2 linked regions of the Xenopus tropicalis genome follow. The protein of the gene in region 1 interacts with the protein of each later gene in a biochemical or structural test. Links are inferred from orthologs where the notes say so. Each region holds a gene or a part of one and is shown on either strand. Other genes may lie near its edges.

Evidence for each region. The genes of interacting proteins can lie anywhere in the genome.
Region 2: of the proteins of akt1 (region 1) and ppp2ca, one has a biochemical effect on the other in vitro, tested with the Homo sapiens proteins (6 studies listed by BioGRID and IntAct, with this or other methods). The link is inferred for Xenopus tropicalis from reciprocal best matches to the Homo sapiens genes AKT1 and PPP2CA.

The regions. Positions count from the first base shown.
Region 1 is NC_030684.2:99,689,670-99,694,453, reverse strand, and holds part of akt1 (RAC-alpha serine/threonine-protein kinase), read left to right. Parts: intron 1-1,164; coding exon 1,165-1,315; intron 1,316-1,619; coding exon 1,620-1,751; intron 1,752-2,121; coding exon 2,122-2,187; intron 2,188-3,111; coding exon 3,112-3,180; intron 3,181-4,784. UniProt on the Homo sapiens protein: AKT1 is one of 3 closely related serine/threonine-protein kinases (AKT1, AKT2 and AKT3) called the AKT kinase, and which regulate many processes including metabolism, proliferation, cell survival, growth and angiogenesis.
Region 2 is NC_030679.2:26,542,733-26,547,616, reverse strand, and holds the start of ppp2ca (serine/threonine-protein phosphatase 2A catalytic subunit alpha isoform), read right to left. Parts: upstream 3,160-4,884; 5' UTR 2,862-3,159; coding exon 2,760-2,861; intron 1-2,759. UniProt on the Homo sapiens protein: Catalytic subunit of protein phosphatase 2A (PP2A), a serine/threonine phosphatase involved in the regulation of a wide variety of enzymes, signal transduction pathways, and cellular events.

The sequences.
Region 1 (4,784 bases):
TTCTAATAAATAACTGATTGCATTTAAATTAAACTAAAATCAGTTCAACCCTGCTAGCTTGATTTTCTAGTCATGTCCCTAAATATTTAAGTGGTCTGGTCACCCTGCTCTAGGCGTCCTTCAGAGATGCCCCTCTGGGGGTCCCCCTCTGTCTCTTGGTTGGTATGTATTGTGGCACTGCATGTTGGCTCATCCCTTTTGCCAGTACCCCCAGGAATGTGTACATATACAGAACACAGGAATAATAAATCAAGACCTAGTTTATTTCTGAGTTCCTCACCATTCTTGTTGATAGGGATGAATGATATCAATTGAATGAATTGAAATAGTTGGTATTTTGGGAAGAAAGATAAAAAAATATAGGAAGACCAGTATTTTATTCCAGTAAAGGGGTAAGACTATCTACAACAAATGTACAAGTGAATTGTGTCAGTTACCTGTTCCTCAGTGGGTATCTGGCACAGTTATTTTAATTGGGGACTGTGGCTTGGCACAATGTTGTAATAAACAAACATACTACCTGACTATTCAAAAAAGGAGAAGACTTGCACAACTATGCTATGGCACAGTGATGTGAAGATGATCAACATTTCACAAAATGCATTAAAGTCAATAGTTGTCAGCATTTCTTTCCAGCTCAAAAAGAATGTGTTTTTTTTTTTTTTTTTTTAAATCAACAAAACAAAATGCATGAAGATGTGGCAATTTGATGTTGGACACACTGACCAAAGCAGATGAACATGCCAGTGTTATTAGAGCACATGGAATGAAAAAAGCAAATGTGACAAAATCACTAATGTTATATTCTTACTGAGCAGTAGGGTTATAATTGTTTTGTTAAAAAAAAAAAAAAAAACCACTGATACATAATAAATATGCTCCTATGGGTCAGATGGGATGGAAGTATAAGCGTATGATCAGGATAAACGCATTTCAAAGTATGAGTTCTCCTTCCTTGAACATCACATCAGACTCACTGGCTTATTTACCAACATGGGGAAGTGACCTATGCCAACTATTCAGTATTTTACTTTAATTATTCTACCTGCAGCTGTCAAGGTAAAGGTAAACAACGGTGTTACTGTCCATATGTTGGTCAATAAGCCCCACTCTACTCACACTTCTCCAGCAATGCATGTGTATTTTTTCATTGTTTCATTGAAGGGAAGAATGGATTCAGGTTATACAACATGTAGCCGACAACCTTAAGAAACAGGAAGAAGAAATGATGGAGGTTCGGTCTGGCGACTCCCCAAGCGATAACTCTGGAGCCGAGGAAATGGAAGTTTCTCATTCGAAACCAAAACATAAAGTAGTAAGTGTCATTTTAATGTAAAATGTACAGGTTTGTAAGTAAGGGCTTTTTTATTAAATGGCACTATATTTATCAACAATGGAGCCAGACAAGTTATCCTAGTAACTCCGCTGTCTTTCAGTGGCCCCACCAAGCACAGAATTCCCTATCCAAATGTGACTAATATTGTATGCAAGGATGTCATACAGCTATAAAACTGATGGTTATATTATGTTATTAGATCAGTAAATTGGCCTTGCTTTATCTGAATTGGTACCATTTAACAGAGTGTTGAATTACAAATACATTTATTTAATCTCAACAGACAATGAATGAATTTGAGTATCTCAAGCTTTTGGGGAAAGGAACATTTGGGAAAGTTATTTTAGTCAAAGAGAAAGCAACAGGAAGATATTACGCTATGAAAATTTTAAAAAAAGAAGTTATTGTTGCAAAGGTAAGTGACCCGGAATTTCTCCAGGAATTCCCTCTCTCTCCCCGGAATGGTTATAGCATTCACTTTCTTGTATCAGCTCTTATTCTCATTCCTCGAGACAGTGCTTGTCTTTGATCTTTCATTCATTTATTTATTTATTTTTAAATAAAAAAAAATGTTTGAGGTATGCAGTGTCCATGGCAAATTCAGTAGCAGGACACCACTAAATTGAAGCAACATGGATATATTATTTTATGAAGATAAAACACACTTGTTATATAAGAGTGGCTGCTTGCCTAATGAATTGATAAATTCCAGTCCACCAGTCAGCAGCTTGGTGAAATCTGCTCTAGAATGAGTATTCTGTACCTTAAATGTTTCTTTTTTTCAGGATGAAGTAGCTCACACGCTAACAGAAAACCGCGTCCTGCAGAATTCTAGGCATCCCTTCCTAACAGTAAGTTTTAAATAGAAACATTGTGTTTTTTGCATTAATAATAAAGTTACCATGGAAAATGTATGTAAATATCTTGTAAGTTGGTTTCATAAGATACCACCATAATTATGGGTGTGTTTTATGGCTATTTGATAGCCCTGGATAAGAACTAGAACCATTGTATTTAATTGAGCTCATTTGTTAACTACTATATAGCCTATAGCCCAATTTCAACTTGAATGGTTGCCCCCATAGCTACACAGCAGCTTTTAAAGGAGAAGGAAAGACTAAGTCACTGGGGGGTGCCAAAATGTAAGCCACCCCCAGAGACTTTAATTGCTTACCTTTTACCCTGGGCTAGTGCTCCTGTGAGAAGAAGGAGTGTTTCCTTCCTTCTTCTGTCTTTGCGCCGGCCCCAGGATTCAGAAGAAAGAAGTAAGAGGAAACACTTGCTGCAGCTTCCCTGGGCTTATGTGGCTTCTCCTAATAGGAGCACCAGCCCGGGGTAAAAGGTAAGCGATTAAAGTTAAAAGGTAAGCAAGTAAGATTTTTACCTTTCGACTGCAGCCACAACAACTGCAGTCCTTGTAGACATAAAAATGAATGCTGTTTACTAATAATTTGTTTTTCTGGCCTATGGAGAAACCAGTATGGAAGCTGTAACAGATTATCCATAATTTTTAAAACAGCATCCTACATTTAACTTGCTGCTATTGCTGTGGCAATATAGTAAATATGTATTATATTTTAATGTTTTCAGTCCGTTCCTCTGAATTTATTGTTCCTTTAATGGCTGACCCTGAGGCTTTCCCCTCTGTGATATCTCATGGGTATGATGGGTGTTGGGCTTGCGTAGTGCAGCTTTTGCAGGGTCAGTTTGTTTAATTTGGCACCAATTTATAAAGTTCAGAAGACGGTTGGTTACTCAACTTTAATTTCTTGTAGGCACTGAAATATTCCTTTCAGACACATGATCGCTTATGTTTTGTCATGGAGTATGCCAATGGAGGAGAGGTTAGTACTGAGTAAATCTATCTTTCTATTGCCATTTCTATTATTTCCTACTCTGCACTGAAGTTGGTGCATTGGGGGAATCGTCTGATATGTGCTGATACTGGGCCATTTTTCATATGAGGCAAAAGAAGGTCAGTTTTGGTGCACAAAGCCGCCAAGGGGTTTTGTACTGGGAAGTGCAGCAGATCAGCTCAGAGCTGCAGTTATCGCCAGAAACCATAATGGCGAACATTTTTGGGTAATGTTTACTCAAGCAGGGCTATGCTTCATATTGATGTTGATGGTAAGTGACTCACAGAGGGGAGCGGGTATTTTCATTACATCAGCATGAAGTTCACCCCCTATGTGCCATAGATTTGACAGTAATATAAATGTGTTATTATATTATTATTATATTGTATATTATTAACCACCATCCTGCCGGTGCTATAAAACAGAAAGCCAATCAATAATCATGTTGTACATGTATTTAATCCACTGCTATAAAACTGCAGTGCTGTCTTTTTCTCCCCCTCCTTTATTTCTTCATATTTTTATGGTACAGACTAAGAAACTGCCCCTTCACCCCTATCTGCGCTATGGTTTGTCTGCAACTAGAGACACTGCACCCAGATCAGCTCTGTGTGTCTGTACCCAGGCGAGGCAGTGTCTCTGGGTGCAGACACCCCATAGATCAGATCGGAGAGGAGGGATAGTTTATCGGCCTGTGCTTATACACAGGCCAAGAAACTGCTCCGTGTTGCCCTGAACCGACTGCACCTATTCCAGTCGTTATAATTCGATCGTTTGGCCCCAGTAAATCACCAGTGGAAAGGCATATGCGTTGCATAGGTTTACTGAAATTGGCCAAAGTTTCCTTGTGAGGGAATGTTGGCAACTTAAAGGAACAGTAACACCAAAAAAATAAAGTGTATACAAGTAATAGCAATATAATGTACTGTTGCCCTCCATTGCTACAACTGGTGTGTTTGCCTCAGAAAGACTACTATAGTTTATATAAGTAAGCTGCTGTGTAGCCATGGGGGCAGCCATTCAAAGGAGAAAAGGCACAGGTTACTTAGCAGATAACAGATAAACCCCCATTATATGGGGCTTATCTACTAGTTATCTGCTATGTAAACTGTGCCTTTTTTCCAGCTTGAATGGCTGCCCCCATGGCTACACAGCAGCTTATTTATATAGTAGCTTTTCTGTAGCAAAAACACCAGTTTTTTGCAGAGCAACAGCACATTATATTTTAATTACTTTAAAACACTTTAATTTTTTGATGTTACTGTTCCTTTAATGATCTGTATGCCTTCCCACCAGCGATTCATATTATTGCTGGTGGAAAGGCATTTCAGAGAGATTAGTCTTCCATGGTATTGAGGATTTTTCATGGGCTCACTGTGGGCATCTCTAATCTCACTGTGGGTCATAGGGCCTTAGGTCTCGGATACCAAACACCCCCAGAGCACACGTTTGTGCTTGTAAATCATATGTTCCAATAGACTCCTACAAATGTTAACAGTACTTCAGCCTATCAGATCCTCATGCTGCCCACAGTACAATGGGACAAGAATACTCTGTGTTTAAAATTAACAGAGGAAAAGGGTTAATTTATT
Region 2 (4,884 bases), on another chromosome or scaffold:
GTGATTATACTGTTCCTTTTACATCTGCTGTTTGCATTAAAGGTTTGCTATTGTGATCTCTTTCATATTTCCCTTCCAGTCTGGTTCCAAACTAGAAAGCTACAAAACAGTTCAAAACAAAACCCAACTGCAAACTGTACAAATTATAAAATATATAAACAGTTAACTTGGAGGTGACTTGTCAGTTTATTTATAGCTGCTGCCAGTCTGAGAAGGCTGGAATCTTATGCAAGCAAAATTACTAGCACCATTAAATACTAAATTATACACACTCTAGACAGCACTAACAGGCTTACCCAGTTATTCATCATTAATTTGGCCTCTGCCCTTATGACGCTTTATCGTCCTAGTTGCTTATTTATTAAAACCACCGTTTTATATTTTAAAGTTACTTGTAAATGTAATGGAGAAGCATGTGTATCCATTCATGCAGACAATGAAAGAGAAACTATATTTAAATTTAATAACAATTGCAGTTAAAAAAAAATAAAACCACTAAAAGCTGCAATTTATGTATATTTGAAAGCGGTTTATAGTTATTTTATATTTCATAGTAAAGTTTCTTACATGAAGATATCCTTTTAATTAAGGAATTGCGAGTATGGAGGCCCATTAATCCTGCCCCATATCCATGTACTATGCATAGTCTGTCAGTTTTTAGCTAGAGAAGGCTTGAAAAAGAAAGAGTTGCAGCTACATTTGCTTGAATAACCGTCACGTGATGAGAAAAGAAAAGATTGCTTTATGTGGAAAACAGTGACAAACACTTATTATTGCCTTTCCCGTGGTGCAGTGGTAGAGACTTCTCTAAGCAATGCAGCTGCATTGTACATCCCAGGCAGGCAGATCTTTCTGCACACTACACAACACTGTTGTAAATCTGCGAATAGACATGACTTTTGGACAGAGGGGGATTTAATTAAGCTGATGGAGGTAAAAGCAGCACTGCCCATACAGTCAATAAGCCACACTTCTCCACAGAAAGGGTCTACTTTGAGCTTCTCTGTCCCTTTGCCAATACTGTGCATCCCTAGTACCAAATGGACCATGCCGGCAAAAAGCAATCACAGGTTATTGGCCAGCTAACAATGGATTTCTCACAGCATGCCTATAAGTAGCCTCTCTGTATCCCAGCTGTAACACCAATTGGTTTGGCTGCATTTTTCTACTTAAGCAACAGCTGAAAGGCCCACATGAACAACCCGCTTCTTGTACAGCCTTAAAAATGGCTGGCATAGAGCAGAAAATGAATGTGAGCTCAAAAAAGGCTCATAGGAGCAGAATCAAACTTTAAGAATCCTTTGATAGACACTTCAGCCTTAAGTTTATAGTCCTGGCACTAAGAAAATTGACTTTTATTTATAGATTTCTGAACAATTCTAAAATATTTGTATGCACTTCCTAGCAGTGCTGTTTTCATAAAATTGCACGTTTTACATGAGCTTCGGAGATTCTTGGCAAAGTTGCCATACCTTGTACATAATTTACCAGAGTGAGTAACTGTGTGGCCCGCCCTATTAGATGCAGCTAGCTACAACTATGGCCATGGAAAACACACTGGAGCATGATTGCACCACAATATTGGCCAATGTACTCAATCACTGTCCTGCGGCCCAACATCAGCTGAATCTGGTACTAACCGCAGCTAGCTACATCAGGAGGGACCACAAGGGACAACATCATTCTTATAATCCCTGGGCGTAAATAGAAAAACATCAAAAAGCATACCACCGCCAACCCTGTGAACTCCTTTTAGATTGCAAGCTCTATTGGGCAGGGCCCTCTTTACCTCTTGTGTCAGTGATTGGCTGCTTTGTATGTAAATCTGCATGTTTGATATATATACCTATTTATTGTACTGCCACTTATATGTGATTATAAATAGAAAGCTCTGCATCTATTCATTTTAATGAGAGATGTTCAAATGAATGTTACCTAGCTCAGTGGCTGGCCAACCTATACAGCAGCACACAAGGAATTCCCACCACTCTTTTGGACTGTGGCATCTCCACCAACACATTTTCCCAACAAGCCATAGATCAGGATTACGTTAGCCCGTGGTTCTGGCAGAATATGGCCTTACTTTACTACAAGGAGCCGTAAAGCACAACGTTCACTGTACCAAGAATCCCCATGACCCCTGCATTCCCTGTAACATTCCAAGCAAATGGGAGCGCGCCGCCGGCCGAGGCGCGCACTAGTAGTGACACGTCCTGGCGTGCATGCGCATTCCTGCGGGGGGTGGAGCAGCCGCCATCTTATGAACGACAAAAGGCGCCATGAGCTTAGCAGCCCGAGCCTGCGCCCACAGAGCCTCTCGCCGGGAGTGGGACGTGCCGAGTGCAGCTCACACATGGGCGCTGCTGTACAGCAAACACTACAGATACTATAGCCCCTGTACGCTAGCCCCCCGGTGTCCGTAACACGCCTTCCCACATATATTAGGGCGATAGACATATATAGTACGTTTCATGTGTCTACCAACCAGCCTACATGTTGTATAAAGTGTATAGCAACCCGTAATAGCGAAAGATACGGCCTCCATACGGAATAATGCGTTCCCCAATACGGAATAATGATCTCCCCCGCAAGACCTACGTGCGCTCCATGTTACTGCCCACAAACCGATATGACGTTAGGAACTACCTACTACTATTGATGGCTGTAGCTCCACAGCAGGCTAATATATATGTATAGTTCTAAAATAATCACGGCTGCTACCAGCAGTCTATTTAAAGTTGCCATTGCGCCACCCGTACCTTCTCGCACAGAGTCTTGACCTGGTTCTCCGATAGCTGCTTGCACTCATTCAGCTGCTCGATCCACTGATCCAACTCCTTCGTGAACGCCTTTTCATCCATGGCTGTCTAAGGAAAAGACCGGCGGCCTAGGGAGGCAGTCACCGGGTATGCCCTCGGAGGGACCAAGAGCCAATGAATGGCGTCAGAAAACCAACAAGTCGACCGCTGCTGGCAGGGGTGGGGACCGTCAGTTGAATAAAATACGGAACCCAGGGGAGTGCCGGGATCTCAGGCGACAGTATCTAAACGGACACAGTCCAGAGGGCTTCAAAGCGCCTCGTAAGAGGTACAGAGCTAGTAGAGGTAATAAAGAAATAACGTTATCAGACAGTCCGCTGTAATTTTGCAGCTACGGCTCCTTCTTTCTCAGAGTGTACTGTACAGTATAATGGCCGCCGTGACGTCACGAACCTCTCCTTTATGGCTCCACACCTCCTCCTCAGCCAGTTCCTTTGCTTCTTCGCCGTACGTCACTTCCTAGAGATGTCATCGGAAGCTGCGCTCATCCCCACGCCCTTATGGATCCGAGTCTAGTCGCATGGGCGTGGCGATAAATGATAGCGCTCAAGTGCAGTCATTGAGAGAAAAGCCTGGAGGGTGGATGGTTTATTGCAGGCCCAGTGACACACACAGACAAAATCGAAGCAATAGCTATTGATTTAATTATTATATATTATAATCATATTCTTAGGTCTCTATACCAGGGGTCGGGAACCTTATTGACTGAGAGAGCCATAAACACCACATATTTTAAAATGTAATTCCGTGAGAGCCATACAATGGCCAACGGGAGCTAGGCCGAAGGCCGCGGATGCTGTGGGGCAAGGTAGGGTGGGTGTCATCTTTAGCTGTTCAATATGGCTTGTTAGTGGTATAACTAGAGGGCTACCTAGCACAGTGCACAGTTGGCTTCTCTTTGTAGCCCCAACAGAGACATACTGGTCACATTTTATTTTCAATTCAAGCGTGACAGGTTTCTGCTCCAATGTCCCTCTCCGTTCCCTGGGCCCTGGTTCAAGTGCAACCTGGTAAGGATGCCGGACGCGGAGGAGGGCGTGGCCTGCGCTTGGCGGATAGAAGATGTGTTCTAAGGCATAGAACATGTCTTCTATCCGCTAAGCGCAGGCCACGCTCCACATTATTTTTTTTTATTAAAGATTTGGCAGGGAGCCAGATGCAGCCATCAAGAGCCACATCTGGCTCCCGAGCCGTAGGTTCCCTACCCCTGCTCTATACAATTAAAGCGTTTCTTTCTTCCAAATCTGCAAACAAAGCGTTGCGTTGTTAATTGACTAATAATTTCATATCTAGAGGAATCAAACCTATTTTGCAAGTAAAAATAATACAACTCATTTGGAAAGCCTGATATCGACACAGTGTAGGGTATTTTACGGTAAAATACCAGTAAGGTGGTAACCTGACTAGAGTGTGTATAGTTTTATGGGGTTTCCTTATGTGTATGTGTTAAACATCTACTACACCAATGATTCTCAAGCTTCCTAATGCCGCGACCCTTTCATACAGTTCCTCATGTTGTGGTGACCCCCAACCATAAAATTATTCCTAGGACCATTTGAAATGTGTGTTTTCCGATGGTCTTGGCGACCCCTGTGAAATAGTCCCGACCCACAGGTTGAGAACCACTGACCTACAGTAAAGTGAATTTTCAAAGCACCAGAAATCAGCATACTAGATTGCAAGACAAAAATGCCTGGGTCAGTAAACTTACCAGAGAAAAAACATTTTTAAAAAGTTTACATTCAGATGAACTCAAAATAGGTAAATATGGGCAAATACATCATTTTTACACCTATATGCTTGTTTTTATTATTACTCCAAACTTCAAATCTTTGCTACAGATGTTGGTTTGTCTGAAAATCAATGCAAAGCATGCAGTATACATGATGTTATCTCTCACATTTCCTCAGGTACAAGAATAAAACATCCTATACGTGAATGCCAGGGTCTTCTGAACAATTTAATGACCAATATGAAATGAGTAACTAAAATATGTGACATGTAGAGAGCCCAAACTAAAATTAGTGCATAGAATTTTTTATGGCTGTAATTTTAGCTACTGCAA